4 linked regions of the Saccharomyces cerevisiae S288C genome follow. The gene in region 2 interacts genetically with the main gene of each other region. Each region holds a gene or a part of one and is shown on either strand. Other genes may lie near its edges. The genes, in order: UBX3, SCP1, HOT13 and PWP1.

The links.
Region 1: mutations in SCP1 (region 2) and UBX3 together harm fitness more than expected from each alone (negative genetic interaction), as found in Saccharomyces cerevisiae (one large-scale study listed by BioGRID).
Region 3: mutations in SCP1 (region 2) and HOT13 together harm fitness more than expected from each alone (negative genetic interaction), as found in Saccharomyces cerevisiae (one large-scale study listed by BioGRID).
Region 4: mutations in SCP1 (region 2) and PWP1 together harm fitness less than expected from each alone (positive genetic interaction), as found in Saccharomyces cerevisiae (one large-scale study listed by BioGRID).

Annotation. Positions count from the first base shown.
Region 1 is NC_001136.10:292,892-299,005, reverse strand, and holds UBX3 (clathrin-mediated endocytosis regulator UBX3), read left to right. Parts: upstream 1-4,246; coding exon 4,247-5,614; downstream 5,615-6,114. Other genes in the region: FG-nucleoporin ASM4, read left to right, coding at 1-589; NUR1 (Nur1p), read right to left, coding at 732-2,186; RAM1 (protein farnesyltransferase), read left to right, coding at 2,677-3,972; RNA-binding signal recognition particle subunit SRP14, read right to left, coding at 5,785-6,114.
Region 2 is NC_001147.6:1,023,272-1,028,292, forward strand, and holds SCP1 (Scp1p), read left to right. Parts: upstream 1-2,735; coding exon 2,736-3,338; downstream 3,339-5,021. Other genes in the region: YOR365C (putative flavin adenine dinucleotide transporter), read right to left, coding at 190-2,301; RAD17 (Rad17p), read left to right, coding at 3,572-4,777; 40S ribosomal protein eS12 RPS12, read right to left, coding at 4,923-5,021. UniProt on the Saccharomyces cerevisiae protein: Has actin-binding and actin-bundling activity. Stabilizes actin filaments against disassembly.
Region 3 is NC_001143.9:277,769-282,754, forward strand, and holds HOT13 (Hot13p), read left to right. Parts: upstream 1-2,740; coding exon 2,741-3,091; downstream 3,092-4,986. Other genes in the region: cytochrome c1 heme lyase CYT2, read right to left, coding at 1-95; SRX1 (sulfiredoxin), read left to right, coding at 513-896; malate dehydrogenase MDH1, read left to right, coding at 1,355-2,359; ribosome biosynthesis protein RRP14, read right to left, coding at 3,257-4,561. UniProt on the Saccharomyces cerevisiae protein: Required for the assembly or recycling of the small Tim proteins in the mitochondrial intermembrane, thereby participating in the import and insertion of multi-pass transmembrane proteins into the mitochondrial inner membrane.
Region 4 is NC_001144.5:540,818-546,883, forward strand, and holds PWP1 (rRNA-processing protein PWP1), read left to right. Parts: upstream 1-3,150; coding exon 3,151-4,881; downstream 4,882-6,066. Other genes in the region: NCW2 (Ncw2p), read right to left, coding at 1-756; glycylpeptide N-tetradecanoyltransferase NMT1, read right to left, coding at 1,120-2,487; snoRNP complex protein NOP56, read left to right, coding at 5,280-6,066.

The sequences.
Region 1 (6,114 bases), on a different chromosome or scaffold from region 2:
TACTTTAAAAGGCAGAAATAATGAGTCGAATAACAAAAAATATCCAATATTTACTGGTGAAAGTTGGGTCAAACTCACTTATAATTCTCCATCTTCTGCTTTGAGAGCACTGCAGGAAAATGGAACCATATTTCGCGGTTCTTTGATTGGTTGCATCCCATATTCAAAAAATGCGGTGGAGCAATTAGCTGGCTGCAAAATTGATAATGTCGACGACATTGGAGAATTCAACGTTTCTATGTATCAAAATTCCTCCACATCGTCGACATCTAATACACCATCCCCACCAAACGTAATAATAACTGATGGCACTCTTCTGAGGGAAGACGATAATACTCCTGCCGGTCATGCTGGTAATCCAACAAATATTTCAAGTCCAATAGTAGCAAATTCTCCGAATAAGCGGCTGGATGTAATAGATGGCAAATTGCCATTCATGCAAAATGCAGGACCGAATTCGAATATTCCTAATCTGTTGCGAAACCTAGAATCGAAAATGCGTCAGCAAGAAGCGAAATACAGAAATAATGAACCTGCTGGTTTTACGCACAAACTGAGTAATTGGTTATTTGGTTGGAATGACCTATAACAGAAATCGTCCAGCTAATTATTCATGAACATTTACAATACTTCATACATTTATTATTTTGATAACTTTTCAAACAGCATTGTTTTACTTTTGTTTATTGATTTTTACGTAACTGTATATACTTAGACATAATTAAGAAACGTTATCTTTTGTGATAGTTCTTCTTTTTCTTTGGAGAGCGAAGAATGGAATTAATATCATTCTTATTCAATACATTGAACTCTGAGCCTTCAAACCTTTTCTGTCGTGCGCTTAAAGGCGTTTTTCTCAATGGGCTCAGGGATTTCGATGGTCTATTTTGGTCTTGATTCGGCAGGTAAGCTCCGCCCTTCTCTAAATTTTCATTTGACGATGATTGAGCCAAATTGTTATCCAAAACTTTATCCCTATAATATGGGGACATTCTAGGAGAATAATGAAAACCAATGGGATGACTTTGATGGTCAGATACTTGAGAAATGCCTCCATAATCCTTTATTCTGGTTTCACGGGATCCTGGCACACTTTCTGTCATTTTCGGTAATGCCTCAAATTCCCTTTTTTCATAATTATAAACCTCTCTGATTTCTTCGCCACATAGGGAGTGAGTGGTGAATATTCTCGGTGTTTTAGATCTAGTACCCATTGCAGATGATAGAGTATCTATATTGCTGCATTGGTTAATTCGTGCCATTATATGCTTGTCCTCATATTCTTGCAAAGCTGCACTTGATAAAATCAAGTCGTCGTCCACGCTTCTTTGAAATCTCTTAGTTATGATATAATCCAGAATATATTGATGGAATACTATAGCAATTGCTGAAGTAAACGAAACATCAGAAAAGCTTAAAAAAACAATTGCCGTTGGTGAAAAAGACACAAAAAGATTAATCATGAAGTTAGTGGGGATCCATTTTCTTAACTGAAAAAATATCTCATCTTCATTTTGATTAACATGAGGACCGTCATCACGAGATCCTCTGAAAAAATGCTTCAACATAGACCACAAGGACTGCTTATAAATATCTTCATAGTATTCTTTGCTTAGATCCTTCAAGTTGTGTTTAGTGAGGTTTGGGGAGTTGAACTCTTTTTTCAAATGGAAGAGATTGTAAGTCTTAAAGTATCCAAACATGAATTTACAGCTTACGTACAGGTTCAGGGACAGCAGTATGAAAATAGTAAACCTGAAAAGATTATTCAAAAACCTTAAGGTAACAAAATACCAAGATTGAAATGCATAAAATTGATTATTGTTTTGAAAGCTGGATGATATCTCCCATAGATAATCAAACTCTTTTAATTTATTGGATTTAGAAAGATCGAAAGCGCCAGACTTGACGTTTAGTTTGTAATAGTTGGGCTTGATCAAATTGTCCTGCAAGAGTCTTATGATAAAAAAAAGTATTGTTAAAAAATTCCCTAATGGCTTAGCTAGACTTTTAGCATAAGCATCCCAGTTGATCATTTCTAACTTTTCATTTATTACCAACTGCAAGTCTAAAGGAGAAGTAAGTAGCTGATACCACCTCTTCATCCATGCAGATTTTGATTCTCTTTCCTCACCAACTACTTCCGAGTCGTCATATGCTTCATTTATCAAATCATTTGAACCCATTTTACTGCCGAAGGTAAATGTAAAGCTCTCTACTGCACAACAAAGTTTTTTAGGTTGTTCGTTTCACTAACTTCTAAATATTGTCAATCAAACCAGACTTTAAGGAAACTACCACTTGTCCCAACGGCCTCACCCCTTTTAATACGGTGTTAACTTCTTCCTTTATATATTGCAGGGCTATTTTTCCCTCCTTTCGCTATTGAAAGAGATCACTATTCCCGTGCTCTGTTCTGATTAAGTAGGAGGACAAAAACACTTGTAACTTAATCCACCTATTCTTATTATTTCTGGCTAACGTTAGAGGTCTTGAAGCGAAACTGTTTAACATTGTAACTTATTAATCTTTTCGTATAAGCTGTTGCCTGATTAGGAAAGCTTGAAACTGAAACACGCGAAAGTGGCTAGGATAAACCAAGCAAGGGTCCATATCATCGCCGTTCTTATGCAGAAACAACTGCAGTGCTTGTAAAGCTATAGGCAATCAAAGCGTATGCGACAGAGAGTAGGAAGGTCCATAGCTAGGGCTAAATTTATAAATACTGCCTTATTAGGAAGAAAGAGACCAGTTATGGAAAGAGTCGTCGATATAGCGCATGTAGATTCAAGTAAAGCAATCCAACCATTGATGAAGGAACTAGAAACCGACACTACAGAAGCACGATACAAAGTACTACAAAGTGTATTAGAGATATACGATGATGAAAAGAATATAGAACCTGCTCTCACGAAAGAGTTTCACAAAATGTACTTGGATGTCGCTTTTGAGATATCGTTACCTCCACAAATGACAGCACTAGATGCTTCACAACCGTGGATGCTATATTGGATTGCTAACTCATTGAAGGTAATGGACAGAGACTGGCTTTCAGATGACACCAAAAGAAAAATTGTAGATAAGCTCTTTACTATTAGTCCTTCAGGAGGACCCTTTGGTGGAGGTCCTGGCCAATTATCTCATTTGGCCAGCACTTATGCTGCAATTAATGCTCTCTCCCTTTGCGATAACATAGATGGATGCTGGGACAGAATTGATCGAAAAGGAATTTACCAATGGCTGATATCGTTGAAAGAGCCTAATGGAGGATTCAAGACCTGTTTAGAAGTCGGAGAAGTGGATACAAGAGGTATATACTGTGCCTTGAGCATAGCAACCTTATTAAATATTCTTACAGAAGAGCTTACAGAAGGTGTGTTAAACTATTTGAAAAATTGTCAAAATTATGAAGGTGGATTCGGCAGTTGTCCTCACGTAGATGAGGCACACGGAGGCTATACTTTCTGTGCTACAGCTAGTCTAGCAATTTTAAGGTCCATGGACCAAATAAATGTTGAAAAGCTTTTAGAATGGTCTAGTGCTCGTCAATTGCAAGAAGAACGAGGATTTTGCGGAAGGAGCAACAAACTTGTTGACGGTTGCTATAGTTTTTGGGTTGGAGGTTCGGCTGCCATTCTTGAAGCTTTTGGATATGGCCAATGCTTCAACAAACATGCTCTTCGGGACTACATATTGTACTGTTGCCAAGAAAAAGAGCAACCTGGTTTGAGAGATAAACCAGGGGCCCACTCAGACTTTTACCATACAAATTATTGCCTATTAGGACTGGCTGTTGCGGAAAGTTCATACAGTTGCACTCCTAATGATTCTCCACATAATATTAAGTGTACTCCAGACCGCCTAATTGGATCATCGAAACTTACTGATGTCAACCCTGTCTATGGTTTACCAATAGAAAATGTAAGAAAAATTATCCACTACTTTAAATCCAATTTATCTTCTCCAAGTTAACCACATACTATTATATATATGTATTCAATCTCCTTAGCGGTCAGTCTCTTTCCAATTTCTTTCTCTTTACGTTATCATTGTCCTTTATTCGACACTTCGGCGACCGCTTTTAAAACGATAATAACAAAGCGAAATCTTATTGTAACACATCCTTGCTTAATTACATACGAAGCAAAAAGTGAGAGTAAGTTCAAAAACAGCGGGCAATCGTACTCCCAAATTTTGTTGTACCTCATCAATCGGCTTGACTGCGATTTAAACATACCCTTTAAACATGGATATATTTAGGCATACTTTTGGAAATAATGATGATTCCTTTATTCGAATCCCAGGTGCTTTTAGAGAAGAACCACCTGCTGATTTGAATGGAAGGACAGAAGATCAAAACAGCAATACAAATGAACCCACACAGAGCCGGGATGGACGCTTAAAATCAATACTCCATTTTTTATTTCAAGCTCCCCTAATAGTTCTTTATTATTTATTGAATTTCATTGTCCGAAGTTCACGTCTTTTAAAACCTCTATTAAGACTTCACGGATTCTACCAGAGGAAGCACAACCGTTTACTAGACCACAGTTCCCAATTACACCGTCTTTTAGAAAATCTAGAAAACGAAGCTCAAGCTGTAACGTGTTCTGAAGGTAACGGGAATAATGATGATGGCAGCAATACTGACAGTACGAGCAACAATGAGAGCAGTGGGGTCCAGTTTAGTTTTGGTTCTTTATACAACCCTGAAAATGGAACATTTTCCAAAAGCATTATGCAAAATAGTTACACTGAATTATTGGATGCTTGTAGCGAACAAGTGAAATTTGGAGTCATTTATTTACATGACCCATTGTTGGATAATCATATGGATTACGTTAATAAAATATTGTGCTCAGAAGCCTTTGTTAACATGATAAGGAAGTACCAGGTATTACTATGGTATGGTGACGTTACTACATCCGAGGGGTTGCAAGTTTCCAATGCATTAAAAATTAGGCAATATCCCCTACTTGGAATAATTTCTTTAAAGGCTGAGAAAAAAATAGAGTTAATAGCAAGAGTTGAAGGTTCTATTTCTAACTACAAAGCCCAAGATTTGGAGGCCATATTCTCCAAGAATTATTCTCGATTAATTCAATTGCGTCAGCAAAGACAAAATATTGAAATGCAGAGATTAATAAGACAACAACAGGATTCAAGATACCAGGATTCCTTAAGACGTGATCAACAAAGAGAATCAGAAAGATTGGAACAGACCCAAAGAGAACAAATGGAAAGAGAGCACCAAAGAATAGAAAACCAATGGCTATTGTGGAGAAAAAGCCAACTAAAACCCGAACCCTCTTCTGATAAAGATGCAAGCAAAGTTGCGATCAGACTAGAAAATGGGCAGAGATTAGTGAGAAAGTTTGACGCATCTCTACCAACGGAGGAGATATATGCCTTCGTAGAATTACAGTTGCATGACATGTTGAACTCAGAAAACGATACTTTACCCGTATACCAACCTGCTAATTATCAGCACCAGTATAGCTTCAAATTGATCACGCCGGTACCAAGAAGAGAGCTTGATTTATCTACCAAAATATCTGACGTTAGCGGCATATATCCATCAGGAAATATTGTAATGGAACGCCTGGACGAATGAAAGGAATTTCAAAAATAGTCATCTCAAAACGTTTATTCTAAAGTTTAGTTAAATTTATATCTACACAACTTTATGCAATTAATCTTTTATATCTACGTTGCCATCCTTTAATCTACACATCCAAAGATAACAAGAGGCGCACATGCCTTTTGACTCAAGTGTCACGTGCATCAGTTTTTCTTCGCTACCTTGTTTTTCTTTCCTGTCTTACTGATGGTACCGTTCTTACTCTTCTTTTTCTTCTTCTTGATCAAATTCTGCATGCCCCCCTTAAATACAGATGAATACTCTTGCCAAAATTGATCTAACTCACTTGCTTTTACCACTGTTGAGCATTTTGTTTTCTTGTCATGCGAGCCATAAGACATTCTGATTAATAGTGGGTATTCTCTGTCAGATCTTGAGCTAACTGAAATTTCAGAAGCCTTTTTAGATACATCATAGTCAGGATGGTTGGTAGAATCAAATTCAAGATTCCCTTCCACAGGATCGTGTTCTAT
Region 2 (5,021 bases):
CGTTTCAGTAGATTTTCTTTATCTGACCTCTATTAAGTCCTAACAACGCTTTATGTTTTCTTCGTTGGAGATACTCCGGAGATTATATTTAGTTCCGAGATGGTCTTACAACCTTTCAAATTCCAAAATCAGAAGAAATTTTGCAGGAAGGCAAATCCTACCGGACGTATTAGTCACGATTTTATTTATTCACATATACAGATATTCACAGTTCGAATTTTGTTTACAAAGGTCAATCTTATTGATCTGCGGCTTTTGAATACCGTTGCATTCAAGAACGGCTTTCTTCATTTCGTGCAGTTCCGGGACCGATTCGTAAACCGCATCATCATCCATTTCACCCTTCAAAAAGGATCGTCTTTGATCATCAATAGGTTTGTATCTTGTATCAGGGTGTTTGTAGTATATTGCCATCGTAAAGCATATCAATATGAAAATGAAGAGATACAAAGAAAACGCTGCATTTAGAAAAAAGAAAATTAGTCCCATAAAAGAAGACACAGCTATGGGCTGCTGAAATAAGTTACTGAAAAATAAGAAAAAAAATGCGTTCACTAAATTCAGTGAATGGATACTAATATTGAAGAAGTTGGTTGTTTTATCCATGTAAGGTTGCATCCAGCACAAAAGGATGAGATAGATAGCTTCATTCAAAAAGATACCAATAGATTGAGATTTTCCGTGCGCTTGTAGAGAACCCACTAGTATAGACCTAATAAGCATGTGTGCAGAGGTCGCCATTAACCACCAGACTTTTGTAGACTTAAATTGAGAGGAAAGAAAGCCGAACTTGTTTAAGAATTTCGAGCTACTGAAGAGTAAATAGCTTGGCTGGCCAAATATTTTCTTAGACTTGATCATCTTCCTCCATATTCTTACGCTTGCGGATGATAACAAGACTGTAATCAAAATGAAAACAACGATTGCCTCCACTAAGGTAGCTGCTGAGTCTGTTTGAGTGAACTCCCAAAGTGCTAAAAGAGATATCTCAGAATAAATTATGAACACCGCTCGATATAGTGTCCCCTGTAAAAGTGCACTCCAATGTGTGTGGAAGTGTAAATATCTAATTGTCTTAACTTTAAACTTCTGAAGTACTTTCAAAAATGTTTTGAAGATAATAAACGCCAATATTATCATACAAATGAATATGATAAAGAAGGAAAATCCCGTTAAAAAGAAATTTGATATCTCAATTCCAGCTTTGTAAGACACCCTTTTAATACCTCTTAATACTAAAATTTTTGACAGATAGTCATTTGAATTTCTCAAATTTGAAGTGTATAATAAATCATTTTTTTGGGAACTTTCAATACCATTTAAATTACTTGACGCTGATATGATTTTACTGTTCAAGGATCTTTTTTGAACACTGATCGATAAAACTTCTTTATTGCGGTATACAACGGTGGGGGACCCAGATGTTGCGACAACATACCAGTCAAATAACCGCTGCATAAAATTTATCCTTATTATTCCCATTGACCATTGGAAATTTTGAGTCCAAGCGGCGACAATAGGCGGTAAAAATGATACACTAATCATAGCTAAAATAGCCAAATTTTGGAAATATAAAAGTAGCGATATTGAATAAGACGCCAGTCTTGTTGAAGTAACCGTATAACCTTGCAAAGAATAAACCACTGAAAACATAATTCCGGAAATTGTCAATATCACTAGATTCCACGATAAATACTCTGTTTGGACTGTTCTACCATTTGATAACATCACTTGTACACATGCTAGAGGTTTGGTAAATTCTTTATCAATAGTGGAGTATGCTGTCACCACAATATATGCGTCTAAGTCAGGTATATTATATGTTATGCTTGGTATTTGGCTAGCTACCGCGGCCTCAACATAATAACTTCCCATGAGTTCTATATTTCCCGGCTTCAACGGACATAATAAATTATCTTGGATTCCACATAGATCAAAAACTTTGGTATAAACATTGAGACCATATGCAATCAATTCTGCCTTGATGGTTATGTTTTCGCTCATAATTGTTTGTGCTTCAACATTAAAGAATAGAGTATTATTTCTCGGGAAAAAAGCAGCTTCGAAATACGATGCAGAAAACTGTGAGTCTTTAGCACAAGTCAACAGAGCCGAAGTCCTTAGATATTCTTTAGTATATGCATCAAATGGTACTGGGAATAGAGTCGATGCGTTGTTCAGTAGTGTAAAAGAGTTAGAAACCTGGAAAGTAGAGCTGTTAATGGAAATAGCGTGTATTTGTCGGAAGATTGCTAGCAAAACAAAAATCCGAGATAAAGAGAAGACTTTAATGGGAAGCATACTTATTCTCTTTACATCTATAAATCAGAGAGGTTAAATATTATTTAAAATAGCATTACGACTTTGCTTCATCATCCTTCCAAAATATTGACACTGCATCATTTTTTAAATGTGTCAGTAATTCGGGCACAAAAATATAAATGGACCGCCATGAACTAAAGCTGTCGTCGATATGGATCGCTCCATAGCAGCATTATAAAAATTAAAAATGCATCAATACCATGCTACAGTAATAACAAAATACAGCATGGATTACCACTACATATTCATCATGTCATGCATTATAGTTGTAACATATGCTGAACACCCATTCATCACGTGTAATTGGACATCCGTGGAGTTCCAAAAGGAGTATAAACGCAAATAGTAAAGCTAAGATATAAGTAGTGTCTAAGTAAATGACTTCTTTGTAAGCGTACAGCTAAAGTTTACCGATGAGTTACGATAAGAAGGCAGATGTCACATCCTTAGATGAAGATTTGAGACAACTAAGAGAAAGCAAATTTTCACCGGAAGCAATTCAAAATATCAAAATATGGGTATATAAATCTGTCCTAAAAGAGATAGCTCCTCCTGGAGACTTATTGGAATGCTTGAAAGATGGAACAGTCCTATGTAAGCTGGCAAATATTTTATATGAAGCAGACACAGGAGAAGCTAACCATATTAGTTGGAAGAGCTCTAAAATGCCATTTGTTCAAATGGATCAAATTTCCCAATTTTTATCATTTTCGAGAAAATATGGTGTGCCTGAAGATGAACTGTTTCAGACAATTGATCTTTTTGAGAAAAAGGATCCTGCCATTGTTTTCCAAACGTTGAAGTCACTATCTCGTTACGCCAACAAAAAACATACAGATAGATTTCCAGTTCTAGGACCACAACTGTCAACAAAGAAGCCAAGACCCCCGGTTAAGTCTAAACCAAAACATCTACAAGATGGTACTGGATGGAGCACTTTTGAATACGGTTATATGAAAGGTGCATCTCAGGCTACTGAAGGAGTGGTGTTAGGACAACGGAGAGATATAGTTTAGAGAATTATTATTAACACTTTCTCTGGCAGAAATTGATAAATAAACATTTAAGAACCCTATATACGCAACCAAAGTTCCTTTGATATATTTTAGTTTTCCATCAAAGTTTTCCTACATAAACACTAAGGTGGCTAGAGACGCGTAACAAAAGTTAACGTTACCGGTAAAAATGTGATTATACAAATCAATCTCACAGAACGGTGTGGAAACAAAGTAGTTGAAGGATTTCAACTATGCGAATCAACAGTGAGCTAGCGAACAAGTTTTCTGCCTCAACGGTGCACTTAGAACATATCACAACTGCTTTAAGTTGTTTAACACCTTTTGGTTCTAAAGACGATGTGCTTATATTCATTGATGCTGATGGGCTGTCATTTGTCAGGGAGAATAATCATGTGATAAAAATCCAACTACTGTTATCTCGGGAGCTATTTATGTCTTATTCGTATAGAAATGAAACTGAGGATCACATGAAACTTTGTGTAAAAATAAATCATATCTTAGATAGCGTTAGCGTGATGAACAGGAATTCGGATGACATTGTTGAGTGTACTTTATCTTATGATGGACATGGATCACCATTTGTACTAATATTTGAAGACTCGTTCATTTCTGAGAGAGTGGAGTACTCTACCTACTTAATTAAGGATTTTGATACTAATGGACTAGAACTCGATAGAGAAAGGATAAGCTTTGAGGCAATTATTAAGGGCGAAGCCCTTCATTCAGCCTTAAAGGATCTAAAAGAAATCGGATGCAAAGAGTGCTATGTATATGCAAAGACCGAGGCGAATGATGAGAATGTATTTGCCCTGATATCTAAATCTCAGCTAGGATTTTCTAAAATAAAATTACCCAGTAACAGATCCATACTAGAGAAGTTACAAGTATTTGACGGAGATTCCACAACAGTAATAGATGGTTTTGCTGTAATTGGGTTCTTCGATTTCACCTCGTTTGATAAAATCAGAAAGAGTACTAAAATTGCAAGCAAAGTCCTTTTCAGGATGGATGTTCATGGCGTATTGAGTGTAAATATTCTAAGTCAAACAGACGATGTCATTATCACTGATACTACAAGACCTTCAAATAATCGACCAGGTAGTATTCGCCAACTGCAGCTACCCAAGGATTATCCCGGTATAGTAATTGAGGTTTGCATGCTAGAAAAAGAATCCATAGATGAGGCAGCACAGACAGAAATAGAACTCCTGATGGAGACTAATGAACTTGGCAATCGTAATAGTTTTAAAAAATCAACTATAAGAAAAAGATATGGTACAGATAAAGGCAATGAAACTTCAAATGACAACTTGCTGCAATTGAATGGGAAAAAAATTAAACTACCATCTGAAGAAGAAAACAATAAAAACAGGGAAAGTGAGGATGAAGAGAATCACTGCAAGTATCCAACAAAGGATATTCCTATATTTTTTTAAGTCAATATCCAGCATCGCAGAAAACGCAGAACTTCATTCAGCATTTGGTAATTTTATAACATATAACTTACAATTAAATAAAAGTTTAACTATATATTATTATGTGATCTAACTCTAGAAAAAGTACTAATGAACATCACACCGTTTATTGTTGGGAGAAGTGTTCCATGATCATGGACAATTCATCAGTTTCAGCACCCCAGTTCTTGACAACAACAACGGAGGCACCGACAACCTTTCTGGC
Region 3 (4,986 bases), on a different chromosome or scaffold from region 2:
GCACCAGGATGCGCTTCGTTGCCATGTTCTCGTAGCCATAACTTTTTGGTTTCCTCATCTACGGGGCATTTCCCCTGTTGGTCTGAAGACATCATAATATGTAAAATAGAGACGAATGAAAAGCACGTGAACTAACAAACTATTTACTACTACCGAAATGTGATGCTTAAGCCTTTGGCCTCTGCAATACTAGCGATTGCTTTTTCCCTGATTAGTAAGCTACATCATTTATACTACATCTTTCTGTCTTAGAAGGCTTACAAACATCGAAAAGCTGGAACTTTGATTTCGAAAAAAATATGCCGTTACCCGTTGCGGGTCCCTTTTTTTTAGAAGGCCGGCCCAGAAGTCGCCATTATTTTTAGTCATTACAGTAGCCCTGTTGGGTAAGGATGCGATGCAATACATGTCAAGAGGTGTTGTATATAAACCACAATATCTACCATCAATGAGCTATATATACTTTTCTTACTGAAAAAAAAAACTACAAAACCAAGTAAAAAAAGAACAATATGTCACTACAAAGCAACAGTGTAAAACCAACAGAAATTCCTCTCTCAGAGATCAGACGCCCCCTAGCGCCTGTGTTGGATCCTCAAAAGATCGACGCAATGGTGGCCACAATGAAGGGCATTCCCACCGCTAGCAAGACATGCTCTCTAGAACAGGCTGAGGCGGCTGCCTCAGCCGGGGAACTGCCGCCCGTGGACGTGCTGGGCGTGCGAGTCAAGGGACAGACGCTATATTATGCCTTCGGCGGCTGCCACCGTCTACAGGCATACGACCGCCGGGCTCGCGAAACGCAGAACGCCGCCTTCCCCGTGCGCTGCAGGGTGCTACCGGCCACTCCCCGCCAAATCCGCATGTACCTGGGCAGCAGTCTCGACATCGAATAATGATTACGCTAATAACACTACATAAGAAACATAGATAAATTATAATTCACTAATACAAAATCCCTCAATTTAATTAATCAATTTCTTATTCAACAACTAGAGTAGGCACTAGCAGTTTGTGCGACCCTCGGCGCCGGAGAGGTACAAGGGACCTGGCGGTTGGGCCTTCCTGCCAGCTTCTCCCCCCCTTCTCGGCATTCACTCAGCGTTCATTGGCTCAATCACGCGCCAAGCGGATTCCCAGAAAAATACAAAAAAAAGTTGCCATAATACAATGGCGGATATTACAATATATATAGCTTGCGCTTTAAAAAGAAGTGTTAGCACGCATTGGGTGTTTGTACTGTATTCCTCCACTTAAGATAACGAATACACATATAGATATACAATATATTATACGTGGACATCTACGGAAAGGAAGAAAAAAAACAAAAGGAAAAGGAAGGATACCATATACAATGTTGTCAAGAGTAGCTAAACGTGCGTTTTCCTCTACAGTTGCCAACCCTTATAAAGTGACTGTTTTGGGTGCAGGCGGTGGTATTGGACAACCATTGTCTTTGCTTCTAAAGCTTAACCATAAAGTCACGGACTTAAGACTGTACGACCTAAAGGGCGCAAAAGGTGTTGCCACCGATTTGTCTCATATTCCAACAAACTCCGTGGTCAAGGGGTTTACTCCAGAAGAGCCAGACGGATTGAACAACGCTTTAAAGGACACAGACATGGTTTTAATTCCTGCTGGTGTGCCCAGAAAGCCTGGTATGACACGTGATGACTTGTTCGCCATCAACGCAAGCATCGTTCGCGATTTGGCAGCAGCAACCGCCGAATCCGCTCCCAATGCTGCCATTCTGGTCATTTCCAACCCAGTCAATTCTACCGTTCCAATTGTCGCCCAAGTCTTGAAAAACAAGGGTGTTTACAACCCAAAGAAATTGTTCGGTGTGACTACCTTGGACTCTATTAGAGCCGCCAGATTCATCTCAGAAGTCGAGAACACCGATCCAACTCAGGAAAGGGTTAACGTCATCGGTGGACATTCTGGTATTACCATCATCCCATTGATTTCGCAAACAAACCATAAGTTGATGTCTGATGACAAGAGACACGAATTGATTCACAGAATACAGTTTGGTGGTGACGAAGTCGTCAAAGCAAAGAATGGTGCTGGCTCTGCTACGTTGTCAATGGCCCATGCTGGTGCTAAATTCGCTAACGCTGTTTTGTCCGGTTTCAAAGGCGAAAGAGACGTCATCGAGCCTTCCTTCGTGGACTCTCCCTTGTTCAAATCCGAAGGCATCGAATTCTTTGCATCTCCGGTCACTTTGGGCCCAGATGGTATTGAAAAGATCCATCCAATAGGTGAGTTATCTTCAGAAGAAGAAGAAATGCTACAAAAATGTAAAGAAACCTTGAAGAAGAATATCGAAAAGGGTGTCAACTTTGTTGCTAGTAAATAGATTGTTCAAGATCAGAAATAGAGTGAAAAATAGGGAAAAAAAAAAAAAAATTCTACTAATAAGAACGGAAGACTACTCGCCATCATGAGATTACGACATCTTTTTTATTTAATTCTTTGTTATATTTAGCCAATTGAAAGGAAGGAAACTGCCAAAAATCAACTAGAGAAAAATTCATGCTATTCGTTGCTCCTACACCTTTTTTTCTTCCGTAGACGAGGAAAAACAAAAATGATTAAATAGGCGCGCGCGGTGTGATGGTGATGATAATGATGATGATGATGATAATGATGAATAAACGTTTCGGTTTACGAGTTTCTTTAAATATACATATATGATATAAAAAAAAAAATACGTACCACTTACAATTTGCAAATATAGATGATCGAAACTGCCATTTATGGTAAGACAGTGGATGACCAATCTCGATGTGTCCACTGGCATCTTCCAAAGGATGTAATTGCCATCAGGTTTAAATGTTGTGATAAGTACTATGCGTGCTTTGAATGCCACCAAGAGTTAAGTTCTCACCCGCTAGAAAAATATGATCTCCTTGACGATGCAAATAAACACTTGATTATTTGCGGAGTTTGCCGTCATGAAATGACGTTTGCAGAGTATTACGACTACAATTCAAACCTTATTTGTCCCAATTGCAGATCCCCCTTTAATCCAGGCTGTAAATTGCACTACCATTTGTATTTCCAGAACCCTCCCCCCGCTATGTGTTGAGTGTTGTTCTATAAATGCATGCCATCTTAAGCTCTGCTGTGCTCTTCTCGTTAAGGAAAAAATGCGATGGTATATATATAGATATATATATATATATATGTATCTGTATATATATGTTCATACATATATATATATCTATTATTGTTGTTATTATTATCGTGATTATTATTTAGGTCCTCCCTTCTTTTTACCTGTTTTTAATCTACCCTCAAATCCGGCTCTTTTCTTTGGTACGGCACTACCGACATACTTTCTTTTCATCTTTTCTTGCTTATTTCTCTTTTTACCCTTGTTGTCTTTCCTAATCCTCAGATTCTCTTCTCTTCTCTTTTGTCTTTCAGATATCGTGTCTTCCACAACCCTCTTACGTTCGCTCCATTCAATCGCAGACTTTCTCTTTTGTGCTTCCTTTCTCTTTATAGCTTTGCGAAGTAGTTTTTCGTCATCCCTAATCTTAATTCCTTCTGCTTGTAACATAGCCTTTTGCCATTTTTCCTTTTCCTTCTGCTTGATTTGTTCTAGTTCGTCTTTCGCCTCCATCTTATTCTTCTTGGCTTCTAATAACTTTAAGTGTGATTTTACATCATTCTTAGCCGGACCCTTCGTTCTACCAGCTTTTCTTAACCTTTGTAAATCTGAAGTGGCCCTTGCACCATCATCGAATATGATATTTTGAAACATTACACCATCTGCGTTAATTTCTGAGTCCTTCTTGCCTTTTTTGAATCTTTTTTTCGAATTGTTTTCTAAATCACTATCGATGTCTTCCATATCGGAATCAGACGCAATTTCATCCTGATCCTGTTCCTGTTCACTTTCTAGACGCTTTCTTTTTTTCAACTCTTCCTTGCGTTTCCTTTGAGCAAGAATAGCCTCTCTAGAACCGGGTGCTTTCCTTTTACTCTTCATATCTGAAATTTTCGCTTGTAACTTGGAACGTAGTGCTTCCAAGTTTTTCTTTCTTTGTAGTTTCTCTTCCTCTGTAATAGACTTCTTTTCGACAGATCTATCGGGCTCTGTAGTATCTTTTTTAGATTCTAATGGTATTTCATTTCCCTCATCATCAAAGATCACCTTAATATCCTCTTCCTCTTCTTCATCTTCGTCTGGTGCTATTATCATAGGATCGTTTACTTCTACGTTCAGGTCGGAGTCTCCTTCCACTTTTGATGTTGCTTCCTTTTGCTTTTGCATTTTCATGTGCTTGAATTTTTCACCAGGTAGGACCACCGGCTTTGCGTCTTTCTCCTTCTTCTTCATTACTTCTAATGTACTAGATGTTTCATCATCACGTTGCTCCGGGTCTAATTTTTTCAGTTTATCATTTTTACTCTGTTCTTTGGTTTTCTTCTTGGCCTTCCATTGCTCTTGACTTTTTTCATCATAATAGTATTTTGCAGGAATTAAAGCCAATAAACCATCGAAGGCGCTTGAATTAGCACGAAGGCGCTCCTCAAGTGAATTACTCATCTCAGTCTCCTATATCTTTCAATTCCCGGACTTTCTTTATCACTTGCAACAACGTCTCAGTCCTCACTTGTTATTCATCTCTTGGTCATCTCATCTCTTTTATTGTACTTTCCTCTTTTCTTTACCGGAGATGAGAATAAAAAGAATTCATTTTAAAAAATTTTCAATTTGGTGTCTGGGTGAAACTTTTTAATCGTGTAATCCCAATTAAACCACTCTACTTTACTTTAATTGGTACACGAACTCATTACACACCTTTGCCTCTATTGCTTGTGTCAATCGTGTTGAGAGAGGAAGCCCAAAACAAGGGAAATTAACCTCTGTAGGCAAGCCATCACATTTGGCAATAGCAGCCCTCATTTAATTTAATTCGGCATGTGGCCGGCAGGGTAATGCGCTCTGCTGCTGACAAAATTGAAAGAAAA
Region 4 (6,066 bases), on a different chromosome or scaffold from region 2:
AAGGGCACCAACGGCGAATGCACCCGCACCATAAGCTATGTGAGTGCCGGCAAAGGCGCCATTGGTAGAATTGGACATTACGGACGCTACCTTACCGTTGACTGTAGACTTGTATGTAGTGGTCAGTGTCTCTACTGTAGAACCTGACGTAGTGGTATAAGTTGATTTGATAGTGCTTACTACCTTGGTGCTTGATTCCGGTTTTGATGAGGATCCCGAAGATGATTTACTTGATGAAGCCGTGTTGTCAGTTGTGGCTGAGGACGGTAGCCACCAAACAGTAGATGTGTAAGTCTCACCTAACGAATTCGTGGTAGTTACTATAGTAACTGGCCCGTCCGTTGATGTTGATGTCGTTGAGGAGGATGCGGAGTTGGTGATTCCGCTTGACGTCTCTCCGGTGGGCTGCACAGAGGCAGTTGAAGTTGTGCTTACGGCAGAGTTGCTTTCGGCCACCCACCATAGGTACTGTGTCGTGGTTTTGCCTTGTGCATCCGTCGTCACTACGGTGGTACTTGGAGCCACAGCATAGGTGTTGCTGACGACGTTGCTAGTTTGTACTAAGCTTTTTCCGGTAGAAACTACAGTTGATGCGCTTTCTTGGGCTTCCTTTGTCGTGGTAGGTGTGATCTCTTGAGAGTTTGAGCTTTCCTTTTGTGAGCTATCTTCAGAGTTCTGGCCATCTAAGGAACCAGAGTCTTTTTGAGCAGCGGCTAGAGTAATTAAGGTGGTAAATAATATGGAACAGGCCTTCATTTTATATATATGTTGGGTTTGTTTATATTTTCACTAGATCGGTGAGTATCTAGTCCAGAAGAGTTGATCTTTCTTACATACTTATATATGCTCACTACCGCCTTCTGAGAAAGTAGGCGTTTTTCAGCTACCTCAGTCGCTAAAAATAAATGCGAGTTCTCAAGCCAACTTGGACTCCAAGGCGGTAATTATAGTGATTCTCTTTGTCTATTTTTGGATTTATTTTGGAGGCTGACACTCTAAAGCCAGCCATTGGATTAATTATTTTTTCACTTCGTCAATTGACTATGCGGAAAAACTAAATGTGGTCAAATTCTGTCGGCTATGTACACGAAAACTATATACGCCTCGTCCTTTCAGCCACTACAACATAACAACACCGACATTGCTACGCCTTTTAATGTCGTTACTATTGTCGGGATTCAAGCCACCGGTAATCGGCTTTGCTCTATAATTAAATAAATAGAAGTTCAAGAACCCGTCACCGGGCCCGAACTTCAAATCATCCAAGAACAATGTATTATCTTGCGAAGTCAACGCGTTAAAAACATCCATATTAGCGTTTTTGGCCAAAATACAAGCGTCATAAATCAATTCACACAATCTTGTTTTCAAAGCCTTAGTAGCTTTTGGATCAAACCTGTCTTTGAATTGGAAATCTGCATCGGTGGCATAATAATACAAGTACCCGATGCCTAGGTCCTTATATTTTGTGTTATTTAGGATTGTGAATGGCAATGAGTAAAATGAGAAGAAGTCTGTAATTTTTCCATCGGGCTGTTCGACTACATATGAGAAAATTACTTGTTTATCCAATGGTAACGATTCTTCACCAATGAAATTATGTTCGAATTCTTCTTTTGTGAAAATTTGAATTAGTTCGAACCTGGATTGATATCTTTTGAACAACTCAAAAACTTGGTCAATATCTTCCTTCTTTAATTTTCTCAATCCCGCTGTCTTTGTTTTGGCCGGTAACGCATTCTCAGCAATCATATCCTCCTCTGTGTGCCCATCTGGTAACCCTGTGAAATCTACTTCATAAAGTTTCTTCCAATTCAAGGGACGATGAGTATAACGACACGTACTCACAGGTGCTGGCAAAACAATACCTGCCGTGTACAATGCATGCCAGATGTCACATTTGTTCACTCGTCTCGTAATTTCTTTAATTAGAACAGGTGTTAATCTCTTCGATCTTAGCTGTTTGTGAACGCACAAGAAATTGATTTCTACACTAGGCACTTGTTTACCTCTAACACCAAGTGTTACTGGTATGGCTGAGATAAAGGCAACTAATTTCTGTGTTTCTTTAACGCGAACACCAATATGCCAATCCTTCTTCCAACCTGGACTCTTTAAAGCCCAATTGAAGAATTCTTTGGTATAGTTAAATCTGAAGCCTGCATCGCGGTCTTCCACGTAGTTTTCATTTAGTAGAACGAAAACATCTTCAAGCTGTTTTTTGTTGTCCACATCAATACTACACCATTCGAAGCTAGACAATAAAGGTAGTGGCTTGTCAGATATATCTTCCGGTGTCTTTGGCTTATCAATGGGGCCTTCTTCCACCACCTTTTCATCGAAATCTTTGACCGGTTGCGTTCTCCAGAATTTGTGGTCTTTCATAGCTTTTTTCTGTTCTTGAGTGAATTTTGAAGTATCGTCATTATTCAACTGTAATAACTTCAATAAATTCTCTAATTTTTTCGCTTTATCCTCTTCTGACATTCTATAAATACGTTTACTACCGAAGCTCTATGACAACCAGAGCTATTGTACAGATCATTCTCTAAAAAGCGTGCAACACATATCATCTTCAATTATAGTGAATTACTTTTATCATGAGCAACGGCTGAAATTATTTTATCCTATTGTTTTATGACAGTATCCTTTCAAAAGAGTCGAAAGGATCCTCTGTTGCAAGAACTACTATTACGTAATTATACATAGTCCGCCTGCAATTTCTAGTGAGACTTTGCTTTGCTTTCCACTTTGCGATTAATATTGAGAATTTTAAACGTTAACTGAATTCTTACCCACCCATAATAAGAACTCTAACTGGCGAATTTATCATGAAACAAATCTGCAAGAATAAAAAATTAGAGAATCGTGCAATTCAATTTAATTGCCTTGTCCGTTGTAAAACTTTTCCATAGGCCCTACCTTGAGTTGATCATATGTATTATTCTATATATATTATATCCAGTCGGGTAATAAATTTTCTCGCCCTCGAAAAAAAGAAGTGAAAAATTTGTCTCGATGAGCTGAGATGAGTTTGAAAGAAGCAAAGAGTTTTAATTTGTAAACGATAGCAAGTGTACCCTCAGTTGAGTCTATTACGCCTTCCTTATTTGGAAACTTAGAAGACGAATAAAAAAAACAAAATAACTAATGATTTCTGCTACTAATTGGGTTCCAAGAGGGTTTTCCTCGGAATTTCCTGAAAAGTATGTTCTGGATGATGAGGAAGTGGAAAGAATTAACCAATTAGCACAGTTGAATTTGGATGATGCTAAAGCTACTTTGGAAGAAGCAGAAGGCGAATCAGGTGTTGAAGATGACGCCGCAACAGGTAGTTCTAATAAGTTGAAGGATCAGTTGGATATAGATGATGATTTGAAAGAATATAACCTGGAAGAATATGACGATGAGGAAATTGCAGATAATGAGGGTGGTAAAGACGTTTCCATGTTCCCGGGTTTAAGTAATGATAGCGATGTTAAATTCCATGAGGGTGAAAAAGGTGAAGATCCATATATTTCATTGCCTAATCAAGAGGATAGTCAAGAGGAGAAGCAGGAGTTACAAGTTTACCCATCCGATAATTTAGTTCTTGCTGCGAGAACAGAAGATGACGTTTCGTATTTGGATATCTACGTTTACGATGACGGTGCTGGGTTCCACAGTAGCGATATTCCCGTTGAAGAAGGTGATGAAGCTGACCCAGATGTTGCTCGTGGATTGGTTCGTGACCCTGCACTTTACGTTCACCATGATTTAATGTTGCCTGCTTTTCCACTATGTGTTGAGTGGCTTGACTACAAGGTTGGATCCAATTCCGAAGAAGCAGCCAATTATGCTGCCATTGGTACGTTTGATCCACAAATTGAAATTTGGAACTTGGACTGTGTTGACAAGGCCTTTCCCGATATGATTCTGGGTGAACCTCTTGATAATTCAATGGTGTCTTTGAAAAGCAAAAAGAAGAAGAAGAAGTCTAAGACTGGACACATTACTACTCATCATACCGATGCTGTTTTATCCATGGCACACAACAAATATTTCCGTTCCGTTTTAGCATCCACCTCTGCAGATCATACCGTAAAACTATGGGATTTGAACTCAGGTAACGCAGCCCGCTCCTTAGCTTCCATTCATTCAAACAAAAATGTTTCATCATCTGAATGGCACATGTTGAATGGTTCCATTCTTTTGACCGGTGGTTATGATTCTCGAGTAGCTTTAACAGATGTTAGAATTTCTGACGAAAGTCAAATGAGTAAATACTGGTCTGCCATGGCAGGTGAGGAAATAGAAACTGTTACATTTGCCAGTGAAAATATAATATTATGTGGTACTGATTCTGGTAATGTGTATTCTTTCGATATTAGAAACAATGAAAACCGTAAACCAGTTTGGACATTGAAGGCACACGATGCTGGTATCTCCACATTATGTTCAAACAAATTCATCCCTGGTATGATGAGTACAGGGGCCATGGGTGAAAAGACTGTCAAATTATGGAAATTCCCCTTGGATGATGCTACGAACACTAAGGGCCCAAGCATGGTTCTGTCTCGTGATTTCGATGTCGGAAATGTATTGACATCGTCATTCGCTCCAGACATCGAGGTAGCGGGTACCATGGTCATTGGTGGTGTCAATAAAGTTTTGAAACTATGGGACGTTTTTACCAATAGATCTGTACGTAAGAGCTTTAAAAGTGAACTAGAGAATGTTCAAGCAAGAGCAAAAGAAGAAGCCCAAAAAATAGGAAAAAGTTCAAGAATCGCCAGAAAATACACCAGTAACGATAACCCAGATACTGTTATAACCATTGATGATCAAGGTGAAGATGAAGAAGAAAGAGAAGGTGGAGATGAGCATGATGACATGGCATAATCTGGATATGAAAAATATTAAAGCAGAGTACATTGCAAGTACAAATAAAAAATCTATAGAAGATAATACTGTATACTAGTGTAAGAGGAGCCTCAGAAAAAAACAATATAATACATTAATATGTGCTGTTACGGTATAATTTAGCATATGATGACAATGTGGTGAATTACAGTTGTGTAACTTTTTTATATCACCCGGCATATATACGCTCGTAGAATGCGATGTGAAAATTTTCTTTTTTTTTTTTTTTCAAAGTGAAATTTTTTTGAGTGATGAGATGGGAAATGAAAAATTTTGTGCAATTGCGTAGTGTCTACAGTTTTTTAAGTAGTTATTAAAAGTGTTTTGGAAGGTATATTTCTAGGAGAAGAAGCGTGCAGAACAGTATTTAGTGAAAGATGGCTCCTATTGAATACCTACTGTTTGAAGAACCTACTGGTTACGCAGTTTTCAAGGTTAAGTTGCAACAAGATGACATTGGTTCAAGATTAAAAGAAGTTCAAGAGCAAATCAATGATTTTGGTGCTTTTACAAAGTTAATCGAACTTGTATCTTTCGCGCCATTCAAAGGTGCTGCTGAAGCCCTTGAAAATGCTAACGACATATCAGAAGGTTTAGTCTCTGAGAGTTTGAAAGCTATCTTGGATTTAAACTTACCAAAGGCTTCCTCGAAAAAGAAGAACATTACTTTGGCTATTTCCGATAAAAACTTAGGTCCTTCTATTAAGGAAGAATTTCCATATGTTGATTGTATTTCAAATGAACTTGCTCAGGATTTGATTCGTGGTGTCAGATTACATGGCGAAAAATTATTCAAAGGTCTACAATCTGGTGACTTAGAAAGAGCCCAATTAGGTTTAGGTCACGCTTACTCCAGAGCTAAAGTGAAGTTCTCTGTTCAAAAGAACGACAATCACATCATTCAAGCTATTGCTTTATTAGATCAATTAGATAAAGATATCAACACTTTTGCTATGAGAGTTAAAGAGTGGTATGGCTGGCATTTCCCCGAACTGGCTAAATTGGTACCAGACAACTACACTTTTGCCAAGTTGGTTCTTTTTATCAAGGACAAAGCTTCATTAAACGATGACTCCTTACATGATTTGGCTGCTCTTTTGAATGAGGATTCGGGAATTGCACAAAGAGTCATTGACAATGCCCGTATCTCCATGGGACAAGATA